Mus musculus: one gene and its partner. The protein of the gene in region 2 purifies or fractionates together with the protein of the main gene of each other region. This does not show direct contact. Links are inferred from orthologs where the notes say so. Each region holds a gene or a part of one and is shown on either strand. Other genes may lie near its edges. The genes, in order: Glul and Usp15.

Evidence for each region.
Region 1: the proteins of Usp15 (region 2) and Glul purify together in Homo sapiens (affinity purification with mass spectrometry; 3 studies listed by BioGRID, with this or other methods). This does not show direct contact. The link is inferred for Mus musculus from reciprocal best matches to the Homo sapiens genes USP15 and GLUL.

Annotation. Positions count from the first base shown.
Region 1 is NC_000067.6:153,891,080-153,906,867, reverse strand, and holds the start of Glul (glutamine synthetase), read right to left. Parts: upstream 6,940-15,788; 5' UTR 6,809-6,939; intron 3,935-6,808; 5' UTR 3,922-3,934; coding exon 3,756-3,921; intron 2,332-3,755; coding exon 2,170-2,331; intron 520-2,169; coding exon 373-519; intron 1-372. Other genes in the region: Teddm1a (transmembrane epididymal protein 1A), read right to left, coding at 14,159-15,076. UniProt on the Homo sapiens protein: Glutamine synthetase that catalyzes the ATP-dependent conversion of glutamate and ammonia to glutamine.
Region 2 is NC_000076.6:123,194,220-123,210,022, forward strand, and holds the start of Usp15 (ubiquitin carboxyl-terminal hydrolase 15), read right to left. Parts: upstream 2,801-15,803; 5' UTR 2,697-2,800; coding exon 2,608-2,696; exon of another isoform or gene 1-2,607. UniProt on the Homo sapiens protein: Hydrolase that removes conjugated ubiquitin from target proteins and regulates various pathways such as the TGF-beta receptor signaling, NF-kappa-B and RNF41/NRDP1-PRKN pathways.

The DNA of each region.
Region 1 (15,788 bases), on a different chromosome or scaffold from region 2:
CTCGGCCTCGGTAGAGGCCCTGCTTGCTTTTTTTGAGTGGCTTTTCATTAGTTTTGTGTGTACTTGCATATTTACAGTATGGTCAGAGGCTAACTTGAGGGAGTCATTTCTTGCCTTCTACCAAATGGGTCCCAGGAGGAGATTCAGGTTGTCAGGCCTGGTGGGTAACCACTGAGCCATCTCACCACTCTCTGTCACTTTAAATTCTAACCACCTCTGGATGTGAGGGATGCAAGGTCGGTCTACTGTTAAGATTCTGCTGCTGGTCTCCATTTTCTCATTTCAGGATTGCACCTATCTCTGGGGAAGGGGATTTCCTGGACAGTAACAACTTAGGGGAGGAAGTTTCACCCTTTACCCAGTGGGACGTACCTTGGGGTCCAGGGAAGCCATTGGAAGGCCAACCAAATGGGTGGCCGTCTGTTCCCATAAGAGTATATTCCTGCTCCATTCCAAACCAGGGGTGCTGGTTGCTCACCATGTCCATTATCCGTTTACAGATGTGCCTCAAGTTGGTCTCTAGAAATAAAGAATCAACATGCCATCAGGACTAGAGCCCTCTCACACAGCTCCAGTGCTGGTCACAGGAGAGACTGACCCAGGCCTAACCACCATGTTTTATCACCAAGGAAAATGGAAGAAGTGATAATTGTCCATTTGCAGGAAATGGCTAATAGACTTTTTTATAATTAAAGTCAGCCACGCAGCATCATGGGAATGGAATCCGAGCAAGTGGTCACCCTATCTGCATGCTGGCCACCATCCCAACACCACACGCCAGGCACTCATTCTCAGATTCACAGGACAACTGCTTCTAGTTGTCAGATGTATTCCCTAGTGTCTCAGACACTGAAGGCCAGATCTGTTATTGAGAATAATTTGTCCATTAGGTTCACATGCCAGGTGAGTTTAAGTGCTAAGTTTTACAGTTATGACTGGTACAAAAGTAGATAGGTAGACAGACATACAGACATATAATTATATATGAGTATAGCTGAAAACAATTCCCAAGCTAGAAAAAAAATAACCATCTGAGTCTAAGGTATTAACAACCTTCATTTTGGCAGGGCATGGTGGCGCACACCTTTGATCCCAGCACTTGGGAGGCAGAGGCAGGCAGATTTCTGAGTTCAAGGCCAGCCTGGTCTACAGAGTGAGTTCCAGGACAGCCAGGGCTACACAGAGAAACTCTGTCTTGGAAAAAAAAAAACAAAAAAAAACAAACCAAAAAAACCTTCATTTTCACAAATAAGAAAATGAAACCCCAAGAGAGGGTGTTAGGTGGCACACCCAGGTGACAGGACAGGCACAGAGCACACCTTTTACCAATAATGCTACTGCCTTTTGAAACAGAAGCACTGAAGGCCCAGGGCCACCAAGCCTTACTGGCATTGCTAGAAGATATTTCACAGAAGTGAGACTTCCCCAGGTTCAAAGCTATCTGAAAACGGAGATGGATAGCACAGTGCAAACTAAACTCCACGCATGTGCAGGCAGGGTAAATGCACATCCCGAAGTCTCGATGCTCATACTTGTGAGTATTCAGACTCAACAAGCTGTCTGGCATAAAATAGTAACCGATAGTTAACGTGCAGTACTCCCAAGTGATTGTGGCACACGGTCATTCATGTGATCTTCCAATGACTTCGGGATGGGCTCTTATCAGAGAAGACTACTGAGACGGCTCAGTGGGTAAAGGTGTTGCCACTCGAGCCTGGCAACCTGAGTTCCACCTCCAGAGCTCACATAAACAGGCAGGAGACAACCAACTCCAACGCTGCCCGTTGACGTCCACGCACCCAGCAAGGCATGCTCTCCGACGCATGCTCTCCACATACAGCACACACAATTCAGAAGAAAAAAAAGCAGGTAGAACAGTGGTAGATCTAGTATTTAAATTCAAAAACTACAGAACTTTTAAACACAGGCTTTTAGATCAGCAGGTAGAGGTTGCCCGTCAGCAAACAGACAGAAGAGCCAACACTATACAAACAATAAAAGGAACCATGGAAGAAAGGATTGAGCACACTGTTCCCAACAGGAAAGTTCAGGGTAGAATAGCCACCCTGCCATCCCTACGTTCTTAGAGAGCGGCTTCTCAATTCATTGAGAATGTCACCTCCCTAGAGTTTCAGGATTTACAGCCAGCCACACCCATCCCATACTTGCCTGCAGGTTTCCGGTTATACTTGAAAACTTCACATAGCACCAGCTTGTTGGGGTCTTTGCGGAAGGGGTCTCGAAACATGGCAACAGGATGGAGGTACATGTCGCTGTTGGAGCCTTCAGACTGAAAGGTACTAGAGCCATCAAAGTTCCACTCAGGTAACTCTGGGCAAGACAAAGATAGAAAATTAAATTAACTTTAAACGTGTTATTTGAGCCTGCAGGAAGAAGCCAGACGAGGAGGGTTGGATCTCCCGGAATTGAGAGTTACAGATGGTTGTGAGCCACTATGTGGGTGTTGTTAACTGAACCCAGATCGGTGAGAGCAACAAGAGCTCTCAATCACATGAAAGCCCACAACTGTCTGTAACTTCAGTTCCTGCGGTCCTCACTCTTTGATTTCTGCTGGCACTGAGCACATGGAGCGCGCGTGCGCGCGCGCACATACACACCCATATACATACAGTTTTAAAAGTTTTTAGTGCACACGCTAAGAAGACGGTCAGCCTCTTACTCATCCTTTCGTTGCTCACCACCACTTTGTCTTTATGAGGAGTGAGGTGCATGTGACTGCATCTACATCAGGGATAACCTGACGTCACCTATCGCTGTCACCTATCCCAGTTTCTCCTGACCTGAGAGTCCCCAGAGCACTGCATCCCAAGAGCCACCTGAGCAGAAAACCAGTCCTCTCTGTGCAAGTCTCCTGTGTACTCTGGTATCACTTCCAGTGTGTCAGACACACACAGGACAAAACCCAAAACAAACAAAAAAACCCCACCTCCTCCTCTAGGCCATCATCATCTCCCTTCTCCCATTCCCCACAGGTCCAACTGTTGTACTTCAAGTTATGCTTGTATATAAACAGTTGCTTCCCCACCGCTTGCTTGGTCTTTTCCCTACTGTCTTAGTGGTCGGGTTTGACTCTCCAGTTACCTCTGAGTTCTCAGAAAGCAGAGACTGAAGAACCTACCCACACTCTGCCAAGTACCAAGTATACAATCCATGCTCTGTTATCTGGTCACTCGTTCACTCAAACAGAAACATCCTTGGAAGAGTAACCCATCCTAAGCCAGGTAGATGGTGAGGGGGCCACCCCTCTCCTGAGCAGCTATGGCTTACTTGGTCTATGCTGAGAAACACAGGCTACAACTAAAATAAACTTAGAAGTATATACAATTATAAAGTAGCGGCAAAAACCATTTTATGGTTGGTGGTTGCCACAACACTAGCCTTATTAAATGGTGGAAGCATTAGGAAGGGTTGAGACCGACTGTTCTATAAACTAGATAGCATATTCCAGTTACACCAGTCCTCTCAAACTAGGTTCCTGGGGTTGGCCAGGTTAGCACACAGCAGCCTCCCATCCCCCACAAACGTGACCCAGTATTTTTCTTCAATGTACCAGCACACGCCAGAGTCCATCTAAAGAAAGGCTTCCATTGTTGCTGCGCCTCCAGACTATGCAGCAGCTTACTTACGGGTGACTGACTAAGGTCTGAAAAGCCTTGCAAACCAAACAGAAGGAAGGTGGATCCGAGGCTGTGCGTACACTCCCAGGCGTGCGCACACTCCGCCCCGGCACTCACCTTCCACACACTTGGGCTCACAGTCCAGGGTACGGGTCTTGCAGCGCAGTCCTTCTCCGGTACCATCAACCCAGATATACATGGCTTGGACTTTCTCACCCTGGGGCAGGGACATGTACATTTGCTTGATGCCTTTGTTCAAGTGGGAACTTGCTGAGGTGGCCATGGTGGAAGGTGTTCTGGAGAGAGACAGAAATCGCATTTTATTAATATCGAATTCAAAGGGATCCACTGTAGGGGACGGCAAGGGAATCAGGCTGGCGTGCGTGGTGATCTCGCTCCTCTGGGACTGGACACACACAAAGGTGCATTATTCACTCTGCTTTCAAGGGGTTTAAAGTTTTATATTAGACAAGGACCATGCCCCCTCAGGGGGACTAGTTAAGGGATTTTAATAACCGTTAAACTTGAGAAATGTTAGCAGGAGAGAACAAATATCAAGACGTTCATTAACAGAATATCTTATTCTACCAACAGAACTACCTTATTGCCACAGAAAGACTTGACTAATTGACTGTTGAGTCTTGCTTTGTCTTCCACTCTTTGGAACAGCCTTTTTTTTTTTTTTTGGAGACAGGGTTTCTCTGAATGGCCCTGGTTGTCCTGGAGCTCACTTTGTAGACCAGGCTGGCCTTGAACTCAGAAATCCACCTGCCTCTGCCTCCCAAGTGCTGGGATTAAATAAAGGCATGTGCCACCACCGCTCAGCTCTTGGAACAACCTTAAGGGACACACAACCCATTGTAATCCCTACATACCTACATTTAGACTATCTACTTATTTGAGACAAAGTCTCATTGTGGAGCCCTGGAACTTATGCCGACCAGGCTAGCCTCAGAATCAAATTAGATCTGCCCCTCTCAGCATCCTGAACGCTAGAATTAAAGGTGTATGCCACCACCATCTTTAGATTACACAATGAAATACTAGGGCTAGCTGTAAGACTTTAAAGGCTAACATATTCCTGGGAGAAAGAAAGGACCTGTATTATCTGCCACCACTAAGGTGGTAAAAAGTAAAGCCATACTCCAAGGAGCACACTGCTGACTGGTTTTTTGGTTTTTTTTTTTTTTTTTTGAGACAGAGAAATCTCAACAAGCCCTCTCTCTGTCCTAGTAATTACTTACTCATTATTTACACCAAGCTTTCCTCAAAATCAGAGGATCTACCAGTCTCTGCCTCCTGAGAGCTGGGATTAAAGGTATGCCCCCTCCACACCAGGCCTCAACTGCTGACTTCATTACTGTGGTGAAAAGCCTTACTCCAGAGACAGATTTCAATGTGAAAATTAACAGTATTTGACGATCCCACCGGATAATATTTTCTGGTACGTAGAAAAATCCCACTTCTAAGTTTACAAGCCACAGGAGTCGGGGCAAGATCTTCGATGAATGTGAGGCTACAAAAAACCAGCCTCAAAACACAAGAGGAAATGCCCCCCTCCCTCCCTAATCTCCCCGGATAGCTGGAGAGGGAACATATTGTTCTCCTCCAATGACTTGGGCAACTTTCTGAAGTACAGTGGCAAAGTTTCTATGGGCAACCGTCCATGTTTGCCCAAGTGAAAACAACTGCCTCTCCCTCCAAAAGCCTCACCCTTCCCCCGGGGAACAGATGAGCCTCTGCTGTCAAGTCCGATGCAGAACCAAAGCCTCTGCCTACACCACTTAGAGGCCCGGATTGTAATTCTAGATGGCTTCAATTTACACCACTCATCAGCTTTCCTCCTCTGCCGTGCCCCCCGCCCCCCACACACACACATCCAGCATTAATGAACTGTTAGGGGAACCTGAGTTCCTCCTCTGGCCCTGGTTCCCTGAGACCAGCTGGGTGCCAGCAGCCTAGTGTACATAGATAGCACCAACTGGTGTCCCTGTAGTGCAAAGTGGAATGGGTTCTTAAAATTCTGAGTAGTTTCTGCGGGTTGCCAGATGCACCCGGGGTCCTTCGCCCTGACTTTTACTCACCCCAGCCAATGAGAATCAAATGCACTGGGGTTGTACTCTCTAGACCTCCTCTTTTTAGAGCAGTGTTCATGCCTCTCCTCGTTCTCGATTTCTCGCTGGTCTAAGCAACGGAGCTTTTTGGGCGAGGGCGATGGAGTGGGGGACCCAGACCGTTCGGAGGGGGAGGTGCTGGAATAAGACGGGTGCGATTTAATCTTAACCCTCGACTTCTCCCCGGAGTTCACAGAGTAGGCAACGAAGCCTAAAGTATTAGAAGGGGACTCTGAGGACCGAGAATCTCCATCTTCTACGTCTTCAATGGTTGGTTTCTTTGAGTATTTGCGGCTGGGGGAGGATCCCCGCTTCCCGCCCCCGGAGGAGTTGGGGCAATCCACTTTGAAAGCAGCCTTCCCACTAAAATGTCCGGAAAGTCGGTGCCGCGACCCTCGGGCCCGCGTAGATCTCAAGGCCTCTCCCAGGGGGCCATACCCCGGCGAGGGTAGAGGCCGGGTGGCGAGAGTGGGGCGACCGCGGGAGGCACAGCGCGCCGCTGCTGCCTCCGCTTGGCGCGGCCTCTCCACTGCGGAGCCCGCCGGCCACTCCGGGGCTCCGGCTCTCCATTGTTCGGTCATATGGTAAAGGCCTAGGACACGGCGTTGGGAGCTGGGGAGTGGTGCCATCAACGCTTAGGACCACCATCCTCAACCAGACCACCCACAGCGTGACGACGCCCCCCAAATGCGCCGCCAGGAAGAGAGGATCAAGGCGCCTGCGCCCACCTAAGGCAAGAACCCTCTCCCGCTGGGACCACCGGAAAGCCCCCATCTCAGCGTGAACCCCAGCCAACGGCGCCTGCCTCCCGGGGCGGCGCCTCCGGCCGCAAGTATAGAACAGATCAAAACAACCCGCAACCCCGCCCTTCCCGGAGCTTGGCTCACAGCGCGTCCTAGGAACACCAAGCAGAGCCGGCCCGGGCCGCACGCTGCAAACACGCGGGAGGCACGAGCGCTGCATCCCGCTCCGTACAGCAGCTGACTGGAGCTGGGAAGTAGAGTGCGACCCCACAGCCCGGGCGGCCGTACATTCCTGGACCCTCCGTGCGCTTACCAGAGCGGTGGCCGGCCGGATGATGGATGGGTGAACAGGTCAGGAGAGCGAGGCGGAGAGGAGATGGGTGAGCGTGCTGTTCAGACACTCTGCTCTACTCCCATTCTCCGCTCTGCAGGGTCGCTGGCTGCTCGGTACTTTTTATTGACAGCTTGTGCCCGCCCCCAGTCGCCTTGATTGGCTGACCTAGGCCAGGAAACCCGCGCCCATCAGCTGCTGCGCGCCGGGGCCCTGAGGCCATTGGCCGAGGAACTGTGCGGGAGCCTCAGGGTGGGGCGAGCGAGACCCAGAAGAAAGAAAGAGAAAGGGGAGTGGGGGAGGGGAGGCAGCGGCGGCTGGAGGAGGGCCAGGGCCGAAGGTGCAGGATGCATTTGCAGCTTGCGTTCTTAAGCGACCTCTGGACCCTCGGACCCAGGCTGAGGCTTCCTCAGAGTCATTTGGCCTCGGCTCTTTGCTTCCTTAACGGTACAGAGGTTTTCGAGGAGATCTGTCACTGAAAATCCAGAACCCCAGAAGAGAATTTTACCCTTTGTTTGTTGAGCGAGCCTGGGGACGGGTTGGGCTGGGGAGAGGCAGGGAGCCCTGATCAGGCGCGGGGAGAGAGAGAGAGAAACACGATTCCCAGAACCTGGAGGACCCTATCTTCCTGGTTTCCTGAGTGGATTTGGGGGAAGTGGTCAGACTGTGATTTCACGGTTTAAACACAAGTGTGATGTTTCTATAAAGAGGATTCTGGACGTCCATAGTCTATTTGATGTTGCCTTGTGTGTGTGTGTTCCCGTCTCTCAGCCTTTCCTTGGATCTGCAAAATAAAGCAGATGGAAGGACTTTCAGAGCAGTTGACCGGGAAAGCAGGGTGGCAACATGCCTTTAATCCTAGCACTCAGGAGGGAAAGCGGGGGTGGCACACGCCTTTAATCCTAGCACTCAGGAGGCAGAGGCGGGTGGGTCTCCTGAGTTCGAGGCCAGTCTTCTCTACAGAGGGAATTCCAGGACAACCAGGGTTTCACAGAGAAAACAAACAAAAAAGCAAGAGGGGTGGGGGGAACCCCTGGCTTTGCTTCCCAAGTTGTTTTTAACTGTGTGTGTGTGTTGGGGGAGAGGGAATGAGAGTTTTCTCTTTCCTTTCTTAACCCTGCAGTGATGGCTGAGATAGTGTGTGAATACTGTAGTGAGACAAGCTGAAAATGTGCACAGAATTTACCTGTAAAAAAATAGACGTGGCCCATATATTGTTATTAATGCTATGCTCTGAGCAGTCTCTTTCTAGTACATGAAATCCACCTCATGGCTGGGCTTTATCTTTCAGGACTTCTGGCATTCGAGATGAAGTTTTCTCTCTAGATGCCAGAAACCCACGCTCTCAGTGCCTTTGGAAGAGGAAGGGATGAAGTTTGTGCTTCTGCTTCTGTGTATGCACCACAAATATGAAAAAGAAAGGTTGCCTGTGACCCCACACACATAGCTCGGCCTGTTAGGTCAACCTCTGTCAATTTCCCCTGAGTGTGTCTGACACAGTGGCTCACAGAAGCAGCATGCCCCACAGGTGGGGATTTGAATAGGCTTTGGACCAGAAAGGCACCTTGCAAATTCTGTGTCCTAGTCAGTACTGTGTGAAGCGTTTTACCATGAGGTTGTTCAACAGCGGGGCTTCACGTCGGGCAAACCCAAGTTCATTCTGAGTAGTAGCCAAATTAGTAGCCACACAAGCTCTGTCTTAGCATTTGTAGCGGGGATGACAGTGGGACCTGGAACATGAGGAGTGTTAGGAAGACGATGTCATCTCATAGGTCAATATAATCTGAAGAGACTGAGTCGTTTCTTTCCATGATTACTCTGTGTGTGCATGCATGTATGCACACATGCACGTGTGTGTTATACACTGCATCCATATGTGTAGAGGTCAGAGGATGACTTTAGGTGTCTTCTATCACCCTCTACTTTTTTTTTTTTTTTTTGAGACAGGGTCTGACATTGAACTTGTAACTGCAACTTAACTAACTTGGTTGCCCGGTGACTCCCAGGGATCTTTCTGGATCTGCCTCTGCACAGCTTGAAGAAGTTACCTGCATTGCAGATGACTTCTTACATGGTTGCTGGAGATGAACTCCGGGACCCTCATTCTTTTGAAGAGAGGACCCACCAACGGCACTGTGGCACTGGCACTGCACCCCCCCCCACCCCCCACCCCCTGCCCACTCGGGTGATGCAGCTTTCTGCCTCCGTAGTGAGCTGCGCCATTACTTAAGGAAGTAAGGTGTAGACTCAGCAACAATGGGCTCGGCTGTCTTCCCATTTCTTCTTTTAACTCTTCAGCTTAGGTGGTTAGAAAAGGGGTTGTCAGAAGGGAGAGATGTTGTTCTTATGTTAGGAGATAGTGAATTCCAGATGGCAGCTGCCGGTCATCAGCCAGGGCAGCCTTCAGCACTCCTCACCAGGCTCCACAATGGGAGCAGTGAACACGATAGAAAGGGCAATATTCCAGAGCACATGTGCTGTTTTCCATGGGTTTCTTGTGTTTCTGCCATGTGAGTGCCCGCTTCCCTTCCTAGACATGTTAACCTCCTTGGCTGCTTATTCTCCCGTAGCCCTCGAATAGTGTCCAGACTGTTCAATAAACACGTATTGACCCCACAGTACCATCAGCGGCAGCATCAAGAGAACATTTGCTCTGTTTCCAAGAATAGAAGCGGATTTGCTTTGATCCTTTCATGTGACCAGGAACATCTCATGTGACCACTGACTTTCAGGGGTAAACAGGCAGCTTTGCCCCCTTGGTCGGCCCCACATGTGTTTAAACCAGCCGAAGTAGGACCCAGACAAGTTCAAGGACTGGACTAGGGAGCTTTGAGTGTACCATGGAAGAAGAGTCCCTCCTTAACTGGCTTGCCCTCTGAAAAGCCACCTGTACTCTTAGAGAAATTAAAAGAACAGCCTGTTCCTCCACTTTGACTTTGCTATGTCTGTCCTTTATTCTCCCCTAAATTGCCACCGCCTCCATTTTCTGCCCCCCCCCACCCCCCGTAAAGGCGGCAAGCGATTGAACCCATGAACTTTCAGTCCAGGCCCACACAGTACCAAGGCTAATGGGGGTCTGATGGCAAGTGCTTTGAAGTTGAGTTTCTCACTGAATTGAGTTCCTCTGTCCCCAGGGTGGGTGGATTGGGAGAGCAATATTGCCAGGAAAGAGCTTGGACTAAACTTGCAGAGATAGCCCAGAACGAAGCACGTTCCATCAGTGGTGCTCGGCTGGCTAAACTGATGGCTCGAGTAGGCTTTCCTGTGTTCTTATACATTCTTTCTCTGAAGCTCTAAAGCTCCTAACCTAGTGTCATAAGAGGACAGCTGTGTGATTACCTTGTACCCGTGATGCAAAGTTTAGGATATGGTTCCACTGAACCCAAATCGTAGACTGTAGCTGCTGGGAGTGGAGTTGGCTGCCTGTGTGGCTGATGTCAGCAGGCAGTCTGTGAAAACTTTAAGCTGAAGAGACACAGTGTGGACTCAAGTTGCAGTCACCCAAAAACCCAACCCAGAAGGTAACTTGTTTGGTTCTTTATAAACCCAAATTAGATCTGACCAAAAGAATGGAGCATAACAAATGTTAAAACAAGCACCCACCCACCCCCCAAAAAGGAGAAAGATCACTGGAAGTCGGTAGCATTCCTGGACCCTGTAAAGTGTATTTACAGGGCAAAGTTGTATTAAGTCCGCCTCTCAAACTTCACTCCGCACAATGAAAGAAGGCAAGACCAGCTTGTCCTTGAATTCGATAACCTAAGACTGGTCACGAGAGGGAGTTTTCTTTACATAGCTTAATCACTTGATACTCTTCAGTTTAAGAGAAGAAATTCAAAGTTGGGATGTCAACTGTCTTTCACCTCATTTGAGTTTGACCAATGTTCAGTGAAGACACAGAGAGAGAGAGCACCCCATTTCTCAACCTGCATATTAGTGGAAGGTTTGGGTCTGTTTGGACTCTATCTCAAAGCTTGCCTCTGCTAGGAAGTCACATGAAGGGTTTGGGAAGAACCAAGTTCATCTGTCACAGCGTGGGAAAGCAGGGGTCCTACTGAGACTATGGAAGCCACAATCACAATTCTAGAGTTCAACCCCCATGTCTGTCTTTCCTACTTGTTTCTGGGACAGGCTAGACAAGCAATCTATTGCTGAGCTATATCCCCAGCCCACCCTTTATTGTGTTTTATTTATTTTTTATTTTTTTATTTCCAGAAATGGGATTTCTCCATGTAGCCCTGGCTGACCTAGAACTTGCTCTGTAGACCAGGCTGGTCTCAAACTCAGACCTTTGCCTGCCTCTGCCTCCTGAGTGCTGGGATTAAAGGCGTGTGCCGCCACCACCACCACCACCACACCACCTGTGTGGAAGTCGGGGGACAACTTTCAGGAGTCAGTTCTCTCCTCCCACCATGAATTCCAGGACTAGACCTGTCAGGTTTGCACAGTGGCTGATGCCTTAACCCACGGAACCATCTTTCTGGTCCAGACACTTTGCTTTATTTCCCAGAGTACATACAGCTCTGTTTTTGTTCATTATATAGCTGCTAGATGGTTTAAACTTTACTGAAGCCCACTTGAAAGTTTAGGAAAGTTGGCCTGTGGTGTAAAAACTGAATTGAAACAGTTCTTCAGTTGGTTACTTTTCTCAAAGGAGTCCACAGCTGGGCCTGCGCAGAGCCTTTTATCCCTCACCCCTGACCCCGTTAGCTGGTTTGGATCCCTGTTTATCTCATATTTGTCAATTTTTAACTGGAAGCACACAGCCCTATGGTATGTATTTTGGATTCTTGGGCAACATTTAGCCTGCTTCTGGGCTTTCTCTCTCCTCCCCCATTTCTTCTTTTAAACTGGTTTTTGAAAGACTAATATATGCTGGGGTTGGGGACCGAGGTGCTTGGACTGACTGATGGTGCTATTGTGCCCTCTAGTGGTGGCTTGTGAGAATTTCAAACATCGCCCCAGAAGGCTTGAGTCTGAAGATTTTCTTGCCTCTGTTACATATTACATATGATAATTTGATAGCACCCAAGTGTTTCGCCTACACTGGCTGTTTGAGAGATATTATATTCATATCACTGCCTGATTACTGGAAGTTTGTCATAAAATTAGTCTTCAGAAGCCCAGAAATGGGCAGCCTACTCTGCTTGCTTCTCACCCCACATCAGTGTGCAAGGAAGGTGGACAAAAAAAGGACTCTGCAAAATCAACTGAGACAAGTCTAGGGACAAAGAATAAAGGGGAAATGGATTCAAAGGTTTGATCATAAACAAGCCTTATCCTCAGCCCTCACTTGGGTCTGAGCCCAGAAACGTAAGGCAAGCCAAGAGTTGAGAGTACGCCAGACTTTATTCTTAGGAGAAGGGGAGTTGGGCAGAAAGTCTCACATAAGCTTGTCCTTTAGGGGAGTCTAGGGTATTTACACTGTGCCACTTCCTCTACCAGGATTTCTGGCTGGCCTCACCCGTTCTCCCTCTGCTCTTCTTCCCCTGAGTCCTTGTTTAATCTTGGGGATAACTTCCTTCTCCATCGCAGTTAGGGAGGGACTGATACTCCTATTGTTATGTTATGTTACATTACTCACTCGGTAGCCTGGGTGACACTGTCAGACTTGAGGCTGACATGAGGCTTAAATAGCTGACCTATCTCTTTTCTCCAGCAAGTGGACCCATAACAGCAGTTTCCTTAGAGAAGTACATATCACAGCAGTGATACTAGCTGGGGCGGGATGTGGTTCTGTGGGCAATTGCTGGCGGGCTTGGGTCTCACCCTCAGTACTAAGCAACACAACCAAAGCACCACCACTAATATCAAAAGACTAAACAACGTAGGAACAGATTTTGTGCCTTTACTCTCCCCAAGGACAAGGAAAAACGAGAGAGAAGGTGACCTCAGGCTTTAGGATGGTCACCCAGAGGTTGGCAGAGCATCTTACCTGTTGTGTAACACAACGAGAAGGAAGGATGGGTGGGGTGGGCAGTGGAACCAGATGAGTGGAATCAGGAGCTGCCACACAGTTGGAACACACACAAGGAGTTGTGTAACTTAGATACAGCAAAGCCCTTCTTCTTCTGAAACCTACATGTTGGTGAGAGAGAACTCCCCAAGGAAAATTATTTCAAAACCAGGACAAAGTCAGATGTGTCAGATGGTTAGGGAAAAAGAAAGCAGTGTTCCTGCAAGTGGCCCAGTGACAACAGAACAAGAAGATCCATGTGAGCTCTCTCTGCCTTGTGAGTGCTCACTGCCTCGGTAGCAGAAGGTTGCAGTCTGTGTGTCAGCTGAAAGACAAAATAGAGATTATAGAATGGCTTGAGATTCAAAGAGGAAAAGTTGCAAAACCCAAGGGTAGTGTGTAATAAGTTCCACATGTAAGGGGGTGAAGAAAGCTTTTGCTAGGGTAGACATACCAAGCATGGACATTCTAAAAATCCTGGATAATGTAAATTTATGTGATTATTAAATTACCTTTTAAATGACTATGTATAATTTGAAATGAAGCCTGTCATTAAAGATCAGGGAGGGGACGGTAAAAAAAAAAAAAAAGAGGAAAGGTAAACTTTACTTATTATTTCTGAAATAGGATTTACCCCAGCTGGTCTCAGATTCAATAGGCAACCAAGTATGATCTTGACCTTTTGATTCTCCTGGCTCTGTCTAGAGGCTGGGGTTGTACATATGCTTTTTGTGGTGCTGGGAATTGAATCCCCCAGGGATATGAACATGCTAGGCAAGCATTCTGTCAGCAGAGCTCTAACACCAGCCCCAAAGAATATAAGTTCAACCTGCATCATATCCACCTTTAATCCCAGAACCCAGGAAGTGGAGGAAGGCAGATCTCCGAGTTTGAGGCCAGCCTGGTCTACATATATATTGAGTTCCAGGACAGCCAGGACAATGTCATGAGATCCTGTCTCAAAAACAAAACAATAAAAAAGAATCAATCTACTTCATCAGAATAAGACAACTGATGCCAGGTTTGAGCTGTGAGGAATCTTTATTCCCTCAGGTGAAGCATTCGGTGGTGCCTCAGAGAAACAGCGCTGAGTGCAGAATTCTGGGCTTGAGCAGAGATTCCTCTCTTTAACGCCATTGTTTCACTCTCTCTCTTTGCCTGCATGTAGAACTGTCCCCCACTCTTCTTCCCTCCCTCTTCTCAAGTCCCATCACGCTTGGGTCTCTTCTCCTCAGCATTAACTGCAGGCTCAGAGACAAGGAGCACAAACTGCCATCCTCCAGGGCCATTGCCTTCACCAAGGAGCAAAGGTTGCACTGCAAGTGCCCAGGAGAGCCCACAGGAGGAAGATGGGGCGGTGTATATGCCCAGGTATTCTAGGCCCGGTCACAGGGAGAGATCTTTGAAAGGAGAGGAGCCTGGTCATCTTTGTCCTGCTGCTCTGCCTCCTGCAGCAGCTTGTAGAAGGTTCCTGAAGAGCTCTCCTGATACAGCGCTTCCTTGGACCCCATCAGCCTCAAGCTGGGACTGTAACAACGGTGCCAAAAGGAAGAGACACCATAGATTCCCAACATGCATAAGGCATTGATCATCACATGCCAGCAGAAGAAGGTGGTGACAAACATGATGTCACTGATGTCATCATCCTCCCATGGGAAGCCAGAGACTGGTCTAAAGAGAATGAAGGCTGCCTGAATCAGCCACGAGCCCATTATCAGGATCAGGAAGGTCTCTATCATCCAGAGGTGAAACATCTCAGGAGCCCAGAGCTCTGCCGTCAACACCAGCATCAGCAGGAACACCACCAAGATGAGGAGAGAGTGAACCTGCAGCTCCACCCCAGATGATTCTTTAACGTGAGACACTAGCAGCAGGAGCAGCACGTAGACACCCAGGACCGTGGCACCTCTTTCTAGGAGCACACACCTCTGCCGTAGCATGTTCTTGCTCACCATTTCTACACAGCCATCAAGGGTGAGAAGGAAGAACATGGTGAGGTGCTGCCACTCCTTGGGGTACATAAACCTTGGTGGCACCCCTTTGGTCATTAATGTCAGCCCTTCTTTAACACAACTGATCTCATAAACGATCAAGAGGGAGCCGATCACAACCTTCAACCAGCCTGCATGGGCTATTTTCCACAGCCGGGCCCATTTCCCCTTATTCTTGGAAAGGTAGGAAGGATACAGAAGAGAGTCATTGAATATCACAGCTCTGGAGACTATTACTGCTTGATACAGACCATAGAAGACCAGAAACAAGCCTGGAGATATATGGCCAATAAAGTCTCCCATTGAGCTATGAGTCTAACAAGGTGTAAAACTCGGATACACAGGCTGCAAGGTCTGGGCTTTGAGAATTGTCTTCCACTTAGTTTTATCACCTCACTTCACCCACTGCTCACCACAGAGGGGAAACGTTTCTTGAGACAAGCCCACACAGTTGGCAGAGATGTGGCCCCCATTGCCCCATTCTCCTCTGGTGCATTGGGAACTGAGTGGGTTCTTGGGGGCTTCTCCTGAGTGGCTTTGGCTCATGCCTGTCCCCGGCTCAAGTTTCCTTCCTCTCATCCTGCCTGGTGCTGAGTAGGAAGGAAATAGTGGGCTGGGTTACTGCGTACCCAGAGAAAGCCTGTGCTCACTTGTATTCCCAAGTGTCTGCTGGTAATTCTCAGACCTAAGTTCTGTCTATCTGTAAAGGAGGATGTGTTTGTTCTGGGCACAGACGTAGAAACATTTAGAGACATATAATAGCATCCACCTGGCTTTTCTAGTCTTCTGTTGCAGACATATCTTGAAGACCACCTAGAGAGTTCCCTCTCCTCCTCTTCCACCCTTCCCCACCCCTTCCTAACTACCACCACCAAACCATCACCATCTTTATGGCCAGGAGACAAACCTGCAGCGGTGCAGAGGTGGTGGTGTACCTGCGCCAGCAAAACTAAGCTTGAATGAAGTTTCCCAGAATACCCTTCCCCACATGGCTCCAAGCAGAGGTCGGCTACAA
Region 2 (15,803 bases):
AAATTTTCTAAATTCTAATTTAACTTTGCTTATGGTTTCCTCACTGTCTTGTCAGAACGGAAACAGACAAACAACTAGCATTGTGAGACTACCGATTTATTCCTTGTCAATGAGTGTCACCTTGCTAGCTCACCTGTCATAGGGAGAACTCTTGTACCACTGTTTACCTACTTCTTACTGCACGTCCAGTGCCAGTCGTACAGAATGCTCTCTTTATCTCAGCACAACTTGTGTACTCAAATCACCACCCATAAACAAATAAACAGAGATGGGTATTCATGAAGACCCAAATCAAATACAAATATCTGCCTAGGTAGTTGAGTTAGTTTGCAAAGTGCTCAGGAGCTAATGTGGTGAAATTTAACGCACCTCACTATAATTTCAAAACTCTGTACGAAGATTTCCAGATTATGGTAAGCCTATCTCTTTTTTTCTTAGTAGCAGAATCAGCATGAAGAACTGTATTAAAAGGCAGCATCATTAGGAATGTTGAGAACCACTGATTTACACAAAATAGAAAATTAACAAGGAGGTAAAACTTGCATATTTAGCTGCTGCCTAAAAACTGGACTTAAGTTCTTTCTTGAAATTAAGGCATTGTAACAACCCAAGTATAGACTTAACTTGTACATTTTGACGTGGTTTACGGTAACTGTCAAGAAAAATATACTCGCTTAAAAATAACCAACTTTAAAAGTAGTTTAATATCCACAATACAGGTATTTCTTAAATCATATATTACCATGAACACCAATTATACGTGATATTACTCAACAGAAAAACATTAGTGAGAAAACTATCCACATTCTAAAAAATATTTCTATTTTATCGGTAGTCATATTTATATTTGTATGATACAATAAATGAGTGAATTGGTTTTTAAAAAATGTTCTTCAATATACCAGAGAGAAGAAGCTTGAATTTATCTGTTAAGATCGCACAGGCCAAGGGGAGCATAGGTGTTCTAGGGAATGCCCGATTTCTTCTCAGCAATAAACTCCGTAAGAAAAACAAAAGCAGACTATAAGCAATAATGACTTAAGCCTCTGCAAGGCTGTAATGCAACAAGTGTGTTTTCCATCATCAAGGTTCTTAATTACACAAAGTGTTTGCCGTCTTACAAACTAAGGATCCAAGAACTTCAATTCAGGTCCCCCAGCTGTCGCCTATTAGCTAACTCGAAAATGATTCCAACCCCACAGCACTTGTCTGGAATTAATGGCAGAAATAAAAAAGATCACTAAAACTTAGTATTTCATGAATACCAGATAGTTCAGAATATTTAGCTGAATTAATATAGAGCAAACACAATAACATCGTTATTGCTCTTTGAACAGATGGAGATGCGGAGGCTCAATGGCTTGGATGAATTTGCTTCCAAGTCACACTGCAAAGTATGAGGTGGACCTGTGAATAAATCAGGTCTAAGTCTCTTTCCACCGCGCCACACTGGAGTGCCTAACAAGCACTTGAGAACTGTGAATAAATCAGGTCTTAAGTCTCTTTCCACTAGCCACACTGGAGTACCTAACAGGCACTTGAGACGCTATAAACCACTAGTACGGAGACAGAAGGAAGGAAAAGTAACTTAGGAAGAAAGAAAGAAAGAAAGAAAGAACGAAAGAACACACAGGCACACTGCCCTTCCCCTAAAACAGAACTTTCCCTTTATTTAAATAATTCTGTAAGTTAACTGCTTTGGCTGACGAGTGTTAAATTTTGTACATGCTTCCTCTAGTTATTTAGGTACAGTACCCTCTTATTTTGGCATTTTACAAGTTTGAATATGAGCAAGCCTTTAAGCTTCAAGTGGACTTATCTACTTTCTGCAGGCCTACGTTATCCTTCAAACCGGAGGGAAGGGCTGCACTTCCAAACAGAAGCGCTGCCGGCTCCTATCGAGCCAGGAGCAAAGCACAGGACCACGTGGTGCCTCTCTCTCTCTCTCTCTCTCTCTCTCTCTCTCTCTCTCTCTCTCTCTCTCTCTCAAGAAAAAAAAATTAAAAAAACAAGGTCCCTACACCGCTCCCTCCTTTTTGACAAGGAAGTGGAAATTAGGGGTTTCCTTTTCAGCGGAGCCCTGACACACACCACCTGTGTGGTCCCCGCCGCAAACATCCTGAAGCCCGGCTCCCGGAAGACTACAAGGATCGGAATAATGGGGAACTTGGGTGCGGACGACGCCGGGGAAGGAGTGACCAGAGAAGCGCGGCGGGCGAGCGAGGAGGAGCGGCGCGACCGGGATCTGTCAAAAAAAAAAAAAAAAAAAAAAAAAAAAAAAAAAAAACCAGCGGCAGGCAGGCTCACGCCGAGCCACTGCACCCGGGCTCCGCCAAGGCCCCAAGTGGGAGCGGCACTGCCGGAGGGAGGAGGACCCGGAGCCCCGCGAGCCCCGGCCGCCGCTTCCGCGCAGCCCCGGGCGCGCACCGCCCACCGCGAGCCCCGGCCCTCTGCGCCGGTCCAACCTTTGCCCCCAAAATCTGCTGCCTGAGCGGCCGCCGCCGGACCTGTCCGCACCTGTCACCAGCCGGCGACACCAGCCCACCGCTCCCGCCCAGCTCTCCGCCAGCCTCGGGCCCCCGCGGGCCCCGCGACCCCGTTCCCTACCAGGTGTCCCCTTTCCGGAGCGAGGTTTTGAGCAGCGTCGCGATGTCAGAACGCTGGGTGTCCAGGTCCGCCGCTCCGCCTTCCGCCATCTTCTTCCACTAGCCGTAGCGGAGGCGGCGGCGACGGCGGCGGCACGCCCCGGAGCATTGTGGGAATGGCGTCCCCGGCCCCGCCCCGCCGGCAGGTCTGTACCAAATGGGGCGCGAGGGCGGGGGTCTGGGGGCGTGGCTCGGCGGGGAGCGCGGCGGGTGCGCGCCTGCGCCCTGCTGCCCCCTCGGGTCCCCGCACGCCCCGCAGCACGGCGTGGTCGCCGCCGCCGCCCCAGACCTCTGAGTTTGCACGGTTCTCACCGGGTGCCGCGCTTTCTCTCCCTGCCTTTGCCCTGCCCTGCTCGGACTCTCCTTGCCATGCTGGCCCTTTTCTTGCCGCAGCCGCCTCCAAACCCATGTTTTTGCGGGTTCACTCCTACTGGAGGGCGGGGCCGGCTGGGACATGGCAGAAAGCGCGCAGTTCCGTGACTTGGGGCTTTTCCTTTCCAGCCGCAGAGCCCAAGCCCACTGAATATTGGCACAAAGAGGGCTCTGAAACCAAAGGTTTGGGCGCAGTGCCCTTCCTAGGTTCTTCCCAGCTCTCCCATGCTTGCTGTCTGTAGGGACTTCTACCTTTCATAAGCTCTTTGTGACGCCTCCTAGCGCGCGTGGACACACACACACACACACACACACACACACACACACACACACACGTTAGCTGCAGTGCAAAACATGTCCCAGTTTCTAGGTGAACAAGCAGTTAAAGATGTATTGAATAAGGCCAGGTACTGAAGGGGGTTAGAAACGTGGGAGAAACCTCATGGGCGTCAAATTAGCATTCCCCTAGATTAAATTTCATGGTTGTATATGCCTAAAGTTAGACTCGATAATACAAGCTGCATTTGAAGGCAACAATTACAAACGGGGAAATTGAGCCTCTTAAAAATCAAATGCCAAGGTCACACGGCAACTGGAAGTGCAAGGTTATCGCACAGATTTCAAATCCCCAGTACTCAGTACCTCCATGAAAGGCTGAATTAAGATACAAACTCCGTAAAAGCTGCAACTAAGTTCTCTTTATAATTTGGCGTGTGAGTGTGCGTGTGTGTGCGTGTGTGTGCGTGTGTGTGTGTGTGTGTGTGTGTGTGTGTGTGTGTGTGCACTGCGGTTTAATGGTCTAGTACCATTCTACACCATTTGAGGCAAACGTTTCAAAATTAACTAAGGCAAAACTGCTGTTTCTAAGAATGAAGACGGCTACCTCAGTAGAACAGTAGGTGACAAGTTAAAGGATGGGCAATGGTCTCTCCATTTTTTAAGCCTCCTAGTTTTGGTGGGAAACTCAGTAAGGAAGGGGGTGCCTGCATTAGTGAGGACTGCTGGCCCATCCAAGAGAAAGCAGTGTTTCCCTGGTTAGGGTTTGTCAGCTTGACAGAAACTAAAGTCACTTGGAAAGAGGGGAACCTTAATTATGGGATTGCCTCCCTTAGAGTAGCCTGTGATGAGTCAGTGGAGCATTTTCTTGTTTAACGATCGGTGTGGTAAACCCACTGTGGGCAGGTGGTCCTGAGTTGTGTAAGAAAACAAGCTGAGCAAGCCATAAAAAGCAGTGTCCGTCCACGTACTCTGCTCTGGGTTCCTGTTGAGCTCTGGCTGTGACCTTCCCCTAGCGTAAGCCACCCAGACCCTTTCTTTCCTAAGTTGCCTTTGGTCAGAATGCTTTGTTGCAGCAATAGAAAACAACTAGCACAACCGGTGTGTATTGGCGTCATACTTGAGTGAGTCAGTATGTGACTGCTTGTTTCTGCGCAGTACTCTCTTTGTATTACTTCAGCCTCAATGAGTCTAAAAGTCATTTCCATTTACGGCTATTTCTTATGTTATTTGACCACTCCTGATTATAAAACCGAGTTTTCCTAACTATGGACATTCTCAGTTGTTATATATCCACACCCCCCATCCCCATCTTCTACCACTCTGTGAAGGAAAGCAAAGTAAGTTTTCAAAGAGAGACAACTTGGTATGCAAAGAATATGCTGTATCCTCATACATACATGGCTTCGGATCTCTAGCTGCCAACACTTAATCTGTAGTCTATTTACAAATTTAAATAGTATAATATTTATCTTAAAGGATTTTAAAAGCATGCAGTGCATTTATTTTCTAGATGAGTTGAGTGTGTGCCTGTGACAGCCTACTGTGGAGATCACAAGTCAACGTTGCAGGCGTCAGCTCTCTCTACTATGAGGGTCTCAGGGGATCAGACTTGGGTAAGTCACAATTATGCCTGCTGAGCCAAATTGCCAACCTAGCCTTTTAACAGTTTTTGAACTTTACTTTATCTTATTTTTCAGAAAGGATCCCATGCGTCCCAGGTTGTCAGTGCAACAGAAGATGACTTTGAACTTATCTGATCTGTCTGCTTCCGCCTCCCCAGTTCTGGGATGTTTCTGCAGCACTGGGCATCAAGCCCAGGGTTTCGTGCTTGCTATGTAAGCACTCTTCTGCCTGAGTCCTATCTCTAGACCCCATTAAGGATTTTTTTTTCTAAAAAAAAAAAAATGAAGATTAAATGAAACAATATGAGTTTGTTGCCTGGAACTTAATAGCCAATCAACAAATGTTAGTAGGAAGAATTGGACTGATATCAGGATAAATTGTATAGTATGTGTGTTATATCTCAATAAAGCTATTCTTAACAAAGCATTCAGGACTTTAAAGGTAAAACTGTGTCATTTGTTATTTTATAAGCATAACAGATCCATGAAGTAATAAGGCCACTGCCCTCTCTTCTAGTTTCCCACCACACAGAACTGCCAAAGTCCGCGCAGAAAAACAAACAAACAAACAAAAAACCCACAGTCATCTTCAGCTACACTGTGTTCAAGAGGAGTCAGTTCACGTTATACGTCAGGCTGATGAGATCGTCTCTCCCGGGGAGACCTCGCTAGTTTGTATCACAGTCAATAAAGTGGTTACACACAGTGTTTCATTTACCAGGCACTCAAATACCAGGTGTTCCCTACTGCTCTCTGCCCCATTCCTTCGAGACAAGGTGTCTCTCTGAATCTAGAATGTACCTTGTTTCAGCTAGACTAAGCAGCCAGCACCTGCATCACACCCAGCCACAGAGATGTGACCGTGAATGAGGGATTACTACTGCTTATTCACAATCACTGTCTTCACGTTGCTTCCCCAAGTCGACCTTCTCCATTGGGATCTTCAGTTAGTTGTCGCTATCTTCTCTTTTTATTTCAGTGTGTGCGCGCCTGTCTGTGTGAGTGCGTGTGTGCACACAGAAGCCAGCAGAGAGTATCGGGATCTTCTAGCATTCTCCACCCATTTACTTATCTCTCCCTGAACTTGAGACGTGCATTTTCTTGGGTACGCTGGAAGCCATCGAGTCTCACTCACCCTCCTGTCCCTGCACCCCTTGGAGCAGGCATGCTGGGATGGAACAGGCATGTGCTGGCTGCACTGTGGTCCTCAGGTCCGCACAGCAAGCACCCCGTCTTGGTACTCTCTTAGACTTTCTGTACCGTTCTTGTTCATTAAGAACCCTAGGGATATGGGCAGGGAGAGGAGTACAGAGAGTCGGGTGCTTAAGAAGAAGGATTTACCGTGAGTAGAGCGGACCACATGGAAAATGTGCCAGTTTTGAAATTAGAGCTCTTCTAGGGAGGATTTTTTTTCTTCTTATCTTGTAATCGCTCTTTCTTCCACTCGGATTTGAACAGTCCCTTGTTCAACCTTGACAGATTACTGTACTGAACAATTGAGAGACAAAGCTTCATGTATAAGTGCTCCAGAAGAGAATAAGGCTTAAAACAAGGTGTCGGTTTAGCAAAACAAGAGAGGCAGGTTCTCCAGAACCTATGACCTTCTCTACCACAGGTTCTTAGCCAATTTTATCGTACTAGGAATGAGTTAAATGCTGTGGAGCAGATGTCAAATCTAATAAGAAAGTGCTTAGTTACTCCCTGGTTTAGCTTAGCCCAGGGAGTGGCACTATTTGAAGGGGTGGTCTTGTTGGGGTGGGTGTGGCCTTGTTGGGGTGGGTGTGGCCTTGTTGGGGTGGGTGTGGCCTTGTTGGAGTGGGTGTGGCCTTGTTGGAGTAGGTGTGGCCTTGTTGGAGTAGGTGTGCCACTGTGGGCCTAAGCTTTGAGACCCTCATCCTAGCTGCCTGGAAGCAGGTATTCTGCTAGCAGCCTTCAAATGGGGTCGTGTAACTCTCAGCTCCTCCAGCACCATACCAGCCTGGATGCTGCCATGCTCCTGCCTTGATAGTGCTTGCCCGAACCTCTCAGCTTGTGGGCCAGCTCCAATTAAACGTTGTCCTTGTAAGGGTCACGGTGTCTGGTCACAGCAGTAAAACCCTAACACTCCTACAGTTATCATGTTATTATTGCAGCAGTAGCTGCGTCTTGCCAGATAAGTAATTATTGTGGTTCCTGGGGTCCATAGCTGGGTAGGAACATTGGTGACTGACTACCATCCCCAAGCACCATGATAGCTACCCATCAGTGAGAAACTGCAGCACCGGTCCAGTGTGATTTCTCAGTGTCCAGTAACCCAAGTGTGTGGTCTTCAGCAATAGCGTCATTCAAACCAAGGGCCCTGGCATCAACCTGTAGTGTTGTGGTGACTTCTGGGGCTCTCTGACCAGACTGTATAGGGAGGTGTTCTACACCTAGTCCTGGAATTTTCATTTCATAACCTTTTAGAAAGTGTTATCCACGTATCCCTATGGAATTGTGAACGGAGAAAGAGTGTAAAATCAATGTCGTGTTTACTAATGAAACTGAATGGAAGTAAGAACAAGTGCTAACCAACCAGACAGCATACACTAGCTGATATGAGGCCCCTGACACACGTACAGCCTGTTCTGGCCTCAGTGAGAAAAAAACCACACCTAACCCTGGAGAAACTTAAGACCCAGGGAGTGGGGAGCAGGGGTGGGAGTAGGGGGAGTAAGGACATCCTCTTGAAGACTTGGGAAGGAATGAACGGGATGCGGAACAGACTGAGGGCGGACTGGGAGGGGGATAATGACTAGACGTAAAAAAAGATTGATTTAATAATAATAATAATAATAATAATAAAGAAAAAAAGAACAAATGCTAAGATTAGCTATGCCGGTTTTACAGTTTTGTAGCACTGGCTCGAAGAACCCAAGAGAACATCTACCTGAAGTCACGCGTTTCTCTTCTCGCTTCTTCCATGAGCTGTTCCCTCTTGTAACCCCGGCACCCACGCATTCTCATTCATCTTGTAAACCCCTATCCCCTGTTATATAATCTTGTAACTTCCCCTCTTCTCACCAGCTCCCCGAACAGCCAGGAGACGCCGAGAAGGCGGGGGAGTAGCGCAAACACAGAAATAGCGTGTAGTAAGTAAGATGCTTAATCTGCTAATGATATTTTGAAACTGGGAGTGTGAATAAAAACTGTAAGCACCACGACGCAGCTTTTAAAGCTTAAGAAATATCCTTGCTCCTCCGTCGAATGTTAGGCTCTGATAAAAAGAATGAAAAGGTAGTGACATGAACACAGTACCCCACGCCAGGCTACTTGGCTTTTGACGCTGGCTTGCTGCCACTAACATACCAAATATTTTTTTTGCCAAGTTATTTAATCTCTGTGAGCATTCATTTTTCTCGTTATACCAGAAGGTGATTAAAAGCATCGGCTTAGACACAAGTGCTTGCAGAGTTCAGATACTCCTAATGTCAATGGGTGAATGGGTGAGACAACTTCACTTTGAAGAAGTACGGAATGTGGGGACTCCACTGAGCTATGCGCCCCAGCTAAAGGTATTAAATAGAACCAGAACAAATAAATATCTCCTGCTCTATAAGATCTGAGAAGTTTAATTTTGACATGAGGGTAAGTCCTACAGATTAGTGTTGGCTGTTGCTTGTATCTGCTTTTCCCAAAACACACTTTGAAAGGTTATACTTTACCTAAAGGTAGGCAGCAGATGTCCTATACGTCTTGCTAAATGATGAGAAAATCAGGCTGATTTCAATCAATAAATTAGACCTAGTCTAACAGGTTTAAATCAATAGCAAAAGAATTTTGATTGAGATTATCGCCTCTGGGTTCTATAAATTTTAGGTGAAATATTTGCATATGGTGGGAAACTTTTCCAAAAAAAAAAAAAAGAAATAACTTAAACTATCTAACCAAGAGTGAAGTAAACAAAACTAAAGCTAGTATTAGAAAAAGAAAAATTTTTGTTTGTTTTTTTGTTTTTTGTTTGTTTGTTTTTTGAGATAGGGTTTCTCTGTGTAGCCCTGGTTGTCCTAGAACTCACTTCGTAGACCAGGCTGGCCTCGAACTCAGAAATCTGCCTGCCTCTGCCTCTGCCTCCCAAGTGCTGGGATTAAAGGTGTGTACCACCACGCCCGGCAAAAAGAAACCTTTTAATTAAAAAAAAAGTATTTATTTTATGTGTGAGTGTTCTGTCTCTGTGTATGTATACGTATGTGCACCATATACATGCCTGGTCCCTGCGAGGGTCAGAAGAGAGTGGGTGGGTGTCAGAACCTTTGGCACCGAAGTTATGAATGGCCATGTGAGTTACCATGTGGATGCTGGGACCTGAGCAGCAGGTGCTCTTAAGTACTGAACCACCTCTCCAACCTCTATTTTATATATTTTATTTGCTGCTTAACTTAATGGATAGACTTTAACGTTGTTAAGAATCACTTAAGAACGAATACTAACAAACAAAATACTAAACTAACAAACAGTTTAAGCAGCAGCCTCTGGGTCCTCTCCCAAGCCTCACTCACTCGCAGCAGACAGGACACAGAGAGCTGAGTGATTTAGAGGATGCTCACCTTGAGCTCTCACATGCTTTTACACTATGCATTTCATCATCTGTACTTCTATCACTTCCTCCAAGAGTCTCGCAACATCTCTGTGCCGGTGGGACTGTGAAACCCAGACTACCAAAGCGAAGTAGAGACGCTCATGGTGCACTGATTCACCAAACGTTCAGATTCCAGGGAGATCAGCATTGTCTCCTCCCGAGAAGAGACGGAATTATTCAGCTTTTCTGTTTGGACAGTCCTTCTCTTCATTTGGCCGGAGGATCGAAGAGATGTAAACTGCTTACAAAGGGCTTTAGACCGAATATAGCCGTAATCGTTAAAGAATATACGTGCTCCAATACCTATGGAACATAGAGAAGGCACTCTTCACAATACTGCCCTCCTGTTATCTGTCAGCAGCAGGGCACTTGTAAAAGTGACTTTATTCAGCTGGTATAACTGTCGTCTCTGAGGGTCACTGCCTCAGTCAGTTCACCTAGGTCTAGTCCTGGAAGCTTCTGGCCTCCATACAGTCTTACCTAGGCCTAGAATGTTTTCAGCCTCTAAGGCTTACTGCTGGATAAGCTCACCCTTTCTAGTTCTTTCTGAGCTCTAGCTGGCTGGTCAACCCAGCTGATCTGGCTCAAACTCCTCTCTGAGCTGAGTGATTCAACCTGGCTTCTCTCTCTCAGCTTCAGAATTGCTCTGCTTGGTCACAGACTAACTCTGGCAATCTGTCCTAATCTGACTCCTTCTCATTCTCTGGCTTGTTCTGTCTTCACCTGTGTCTAGCTTGTTCGCTCTTTCTGCAACCCGTCTCTATAACTGTTGCAATAAAACGTCTCCTTCCCCCTCTCTGCCCAGACCCTTAAGTTGCTCCCCTTTCCCCTCTCTTCTTGTGAGAGCTGGGCATATCCTATTCTGTCAAATCTTTCTCTCATTTGCCACTTTGTCTGCCACTCAGACATCACTGTCAAACATCGGCACTTCCTTCTATAAGTTAACTTTATCTTCATTGTTTGGGAATAAAGTTGTGTTCTAAGGACTAAGCCACACCACAACAGGAAACAGGTTTTCTCAGTAAACAACACAATCTTGGGGGGTCACAGTATGATATCATATCCTGTAACAGACACTACTGAACATGCAGCAGGCTTGGGTAAAGTTAGAAGACGCCAGTGGTGAAGAAAAGCAAGCTTGGTGATGTTATAAAAACATTTCTCATTGTTTCCTATGCTAGCCAGTATGCTTCTGCACAGGAACTCTTGGATTATGTTAATTATGTTTTTATAAACTTGTGATGGTCCAAGACTGCCACAGTCTGCTACTGGACCGAACTACAGAGAGATTCATGAGAAGGGCAAGAAATAATTGTATACTTCCATAGAAAATCCAACTTCCTTAATCATATACATCCCCCCTTCTATGTACTAGTTCTCTGATACTGGAAGATTTGGCTTCATTTCTTTTAAGTGAAGATAACTTCATACTTGTTCAAAAACTGAATTCAATCCTGAATATGAGGCTACTTGAGGGCCTCAGAATACGCGGTTGGACGGTTACTAATGTGAATGTTTAGACAAATTTATATTCATTAAGACCACAAAATTGTTATGTCATAGCAAACGGTTTAGTTAAAATCGAGGAGAAAAGTAATGGATCATATCAAAGACATCCAACTGCCGGGCGGTGGTGGCGCACGCCTTTAATCCCAGCACTTGGGAAGCAGAGGCAGGCAGATTTCTGAGTTCGAGGCCAGCCTGGTCTACAGAGAGAGTTCCAGGACAGCCAGGGCTACACAGAGAAATCCTGTCTTGTAAAACCAAAAAAAAAAAAAAAAAAAAAAAAAAAAAAAAGGACATCCAAATACTGAAAGTGTTAAAATGAATAGTAAGTATAACTTTACTCATTTTTTTTTTTTTTTTTTTGGTGAAGAATTTTTCTTGCTTTGCCTTGTTTTTGCTTTTATGAGATTATGAGACATGGTCTTGGTATCAGGCCAGCATGGCTGGAATGCACCCATGTAGCCTAGTCTAACCTGGCCTGTTGATCTGCCTTCCACTTATTGAGTGTTGGGATTAAAGCCTGAGCCACAATGTTAAATCTGTATGAAGAATTCTTATGGATAAAACAATGCACTTAGAAGCAGATAGTAGAAAAGATGATAAGGCATATACTATATGTTTATGAATATTCTCCAATTACATCATAGCATTACAGATAAAAGACATGATTTTACCTATGGATTGATAGCCGGGAAGGCAGAATAGTGACTCTGGATAGTGATCGCCATGTTCTAATCTCCGAATCAGTGAATGTGTTATAGTCATGGCTTAAAGGGACTTCGTAGATGAGGTTAAGGTTACAGACCTTGAAATGAGGAATTATTTAAGCGAGTCCAAGCTAACCACAAAAGTAAAAGAAATGTTTTTCCTGTGTTTATAAGGTGAGAAGACTACGGGGACCGAGCTTAGAAGACGGGATAAAGAGCCACGAGCTAGTAGTGGCGTGGATGCCTTTTGGAAGCTGGGCAAGGCCAGGAAATATGAGCTCCCTTCTAAATTCAGCAGCAAGGAGCATAGTGTCACCAACACTGTGAGTTTCGCTTCATTAGATTTGCATCAGAAGCCTAAGCCATGTGACAATGCTCTGCCACTCTCTCTAGTCACAAGGTGGCTGGTAGGTCATTATACAGCAGTAGAAAACTGATAGACAAATTGTAGAACAGAGTACCTCTAAGAAAGCCAAAACAAAGCAAAAACTAGTCAGGCCTGGAATTAGTCATTGTATCCACTTACTAAAAAGAAATGTGACTTATCATAGATTAAAAATAAGAAGAAATTGGATTGATATTCTCTGGGTTACAGGTTGGAAAAAAAAGTAGAAGGCATATCTGGTGAGCAATGAGCTCTGAAAGGACCATGTGCAGAGTTACAGGCACAGGCAAGACTTTGGTGATTATGGGATTATTTTAACTTTCAGAAGCAAAACCATCAAATTCCTAACATCAAATATTAGTAAGTGACACTTAACAAGGAACACCTAGAGCTTATAAATCATGCTGATTGCATTTCAGCTGGTCTGCAGAAGCCAAGAATAAGTAATGGTTGATAACCAAAGAGATTCTAGACAAGCTTCCACAGAACAATCGGTGATGCACCACGCACAAGAAATTCTACAAAGACTTCCAGTAGACCCTCGGAAGCAGTTCAAGGAAGTTAGGACAGTTGCCTCCTGAACCATATTAGGGTTCTCCAGGCAAAAAGAGTCAACAGGTCATAGGCACGGACAATATAGAGATGTAGAGAAAAGCATTTATTAGGAAAGATTGGTGACTAAGTCTGTATTCCGTGGTGGCGCACGCCTTTAATCCCAGCACTCGGGAGGCAAAGGCAGGTGGATCTCTGGGTCTGAGGCCAGCCTGGTCTACAGAGTGAGTTCCAGGACAGCCAAGGCTACACAGAGAAACAAACAAACAAACAAACAAAAAATTAAGTCTGTATTCTACCATCCCTAAACTGGAAATGAGAAAAGTGCAAGTTCTTTTCAAGTTCGCAGCCCCGAGAGCTGTAGAAACTAGTAATGTTAACTCCCAGTTTCAATCTGAAGGCTCAAGTACTTGAAGAACTAATCCTGGAAGGCAACAGAAGACTGACAGCCTATTCAAGCAGAGGGGCTTAGCACCTCCTCCACCTTTCTGTTCTTGTCCATCCCTTAGAGTTTTGGGTGGTGTCTGCCTTCATCAGTGAGTGTAATTTTGTTTTACTTGGCCTATAGATTCAAATGCTAATCTATCCTCGGAGCATCTGCAAAGACATACCTCACCTGCCATCTACAGTGCAGTCAATTAGCCCTTGAGTTGACCATCAGAGTCATGCATTACAGTCTGAGAAAACCGAGTCAGGTGACTTATGAGAGCAGAATCCATAAATACGCATAGACCAGGATATCACCGCCACGTAGAAAAAGGAGGCAACAGTACAGAGGAACGACAGGGCCAAGAAGTGGGAATGGGTGGGTGGGGGAGTGGGTGGGGGAGCGTGTGGGAGACTTTTGGGATAGCATTGGAAATGTAAATGAAATAAATACCCAATTAAAAAAAAAAAGAAAAAGGAGGCAAGAAATCGATGTACATTTTTTTTCAGTTTTTAAAAATTCTTTAATCCGTTTTTGCAGTCCAGTCTTCATCCCTTTCTCGCTCTACCCCCCAGACTGCTCCCCACCCCTACCTCCTCCCCCATCCCCCACCCCACCAACAGTATTATTTTGTCCTCTCTTCCTCTCCCCTTTGTTCCTCTCTTCAATCCTTTCTATCTCTAAAGGCGTTTGATAACAATTGTATAAGGACAGTGGTGAGTGTATATGGCTCCTTGGTGAGCCCTTGATTGAGTGACTCGGCAGGGAAGTTAACTCTAGGTCTACTGACTACTTAACGAGGTGATTGGAAAGGAGAATCAGACCAAAGTGTTGTCTGACACAAAGACCATCTCTAGATAGGGAGCTAACAGCATAGCCAAGTCACAATACCACCAAAGACCAGGTCAGGGAACAAATAACTGAACGGGACTTACGGAGCAGGGGTGAGAGGTTGCTCATAGGAACATGGGTGGCTCGGAGGCAGCTGCACCAGCATAGGCGCAATCTGGCATGGCTGACAGTGTGCGAAAGCTGAGACCCTGGAGCTCTCTGCACAGCACGCAGGCAACTCTACAAGGTGGGGCGCACCCTCACCTCAAGAGTCCGCACTGTTCATAAAACCTTGGCGGAGGAAAGACCTTGGGTATCTTGGTAAGTTTCAGCAAGCTCTTGAGACTTTGAGGTTGTTTACTTCCTGAATCTTGTACAACTTCTTGAGTTGTAATGAGCTTCCTCCAGGAGGAAAGATTTTGGTTCGGAGGAAATTGCTGTACAACGGAAGAAAAAAGAGCAACACCCAAATCCCTGTGTTTTAACCAAAGCAATGATGGGGTAATAATAACACCCTTTAGATGAGTGGTTCTCAACTTTCTTAACGCTGCGACCCTTTAATTCAGTTCCTCATGTTGTGCTCACCCCCAGCCATAAAATTATTTTCATCGCCACTTCATAACTGCGCTGGCTACTGTTATGAATTGTAATGCAAATGCCCGATATGCAGACTATTTGATATGCAATCTCCGTGAAAGGGTCGATCGACCCATAGGTTGAGAAACTCTGGTTTGGAGCGTAGTGTTGTATGTAGCGTTCTCCCTGCTTTTGAATGCCTCCTCTAAGTGGCGCAGTACAATGAGCTTCCCTAAGTCCTTGGCGAGAAAAAAAAAGCCGCTAAGTTTTTTTCATGAAGACAATCGAAGTGCAAACTTTAGACAGTTAAGAGAAGTGTCAACCGGCCAGACCTCCTCTCCCTCCCGCTCCCCCAAGCTCCCAGGGACTAAGCCACCAACCAAAGAGTACACATGGAGGGACTCTTGGCTCCGGCCAGCCACACATGTGGCAGAGGATGGCCTTGTTGGACATCAGCGGGAGGAGCTGCCCTTGGTCCTGTTGGGGTTCGATGCTCCAGTGTATGGGAATGCCAGGGCAGGAAGGCAGGAGTGGGTGGGTGGCTGGGGGAACACCCTTATAGATGCAGGAGGGAGGGGGGAACCTGGAAAGGGAATAACATTTGAAATGTAAATAAAGAAAATATTCAATAAGAGAGAGAAAAAAAGAGAGAGATCAAAAATAGACACCTCACAAATTTTCTACTGTTAACATGGTTCGCGGCTTGAAAACACTAATTTCCAGTTGTTAAAAGTTCTGAAAAAGAAACAAGAATTGGACTTGGTGGCTTGTAAGCTCTGCTCCAGGGAGGCAGAGCAGCACAAGGTTGAGGCCCTCTTTAGAAGTCTTCATAGGGAATTCCAGGCTGGCCTGCAAGGGTCTGTAGTGAGAGTCCGTTTCAAAATATCAGTGTTCCCACCCAGCGTTTTTTTTTTTTCTCACCCGCCTTTCAAACACAGAGTGGGCAGACAGCGAAAGGAGGGAACTTTGCTTCAAGGGAGTACAAATTCAAAAGGGGAAACAGAAACTCGGAGCCCTTCTGTGGTAATAGAGCGCCAACCAAGAGAAGTTGTGAGCTTTATAGCCCTGAGCAGGCTTTGGAGTACCTGGAGGGGCTTGGCAGTGCAGTGGGAAGGAGTCCCCCTGCCTGCTGCTTCCGGGGAGTCCTGGAGGCTGGAGCTGGGAGAGTCTTCCATAGTTCTCTTCCTCGAGGAGTCAGAAGCCTCAGGTGGCTTCTGATGCAACTCTCTGCATAAGTGTGGAGCTGGGCTCTGGTGAACGGGTGCAGACACAGATACAGTAAAATCAGTAAATAAAAACACATT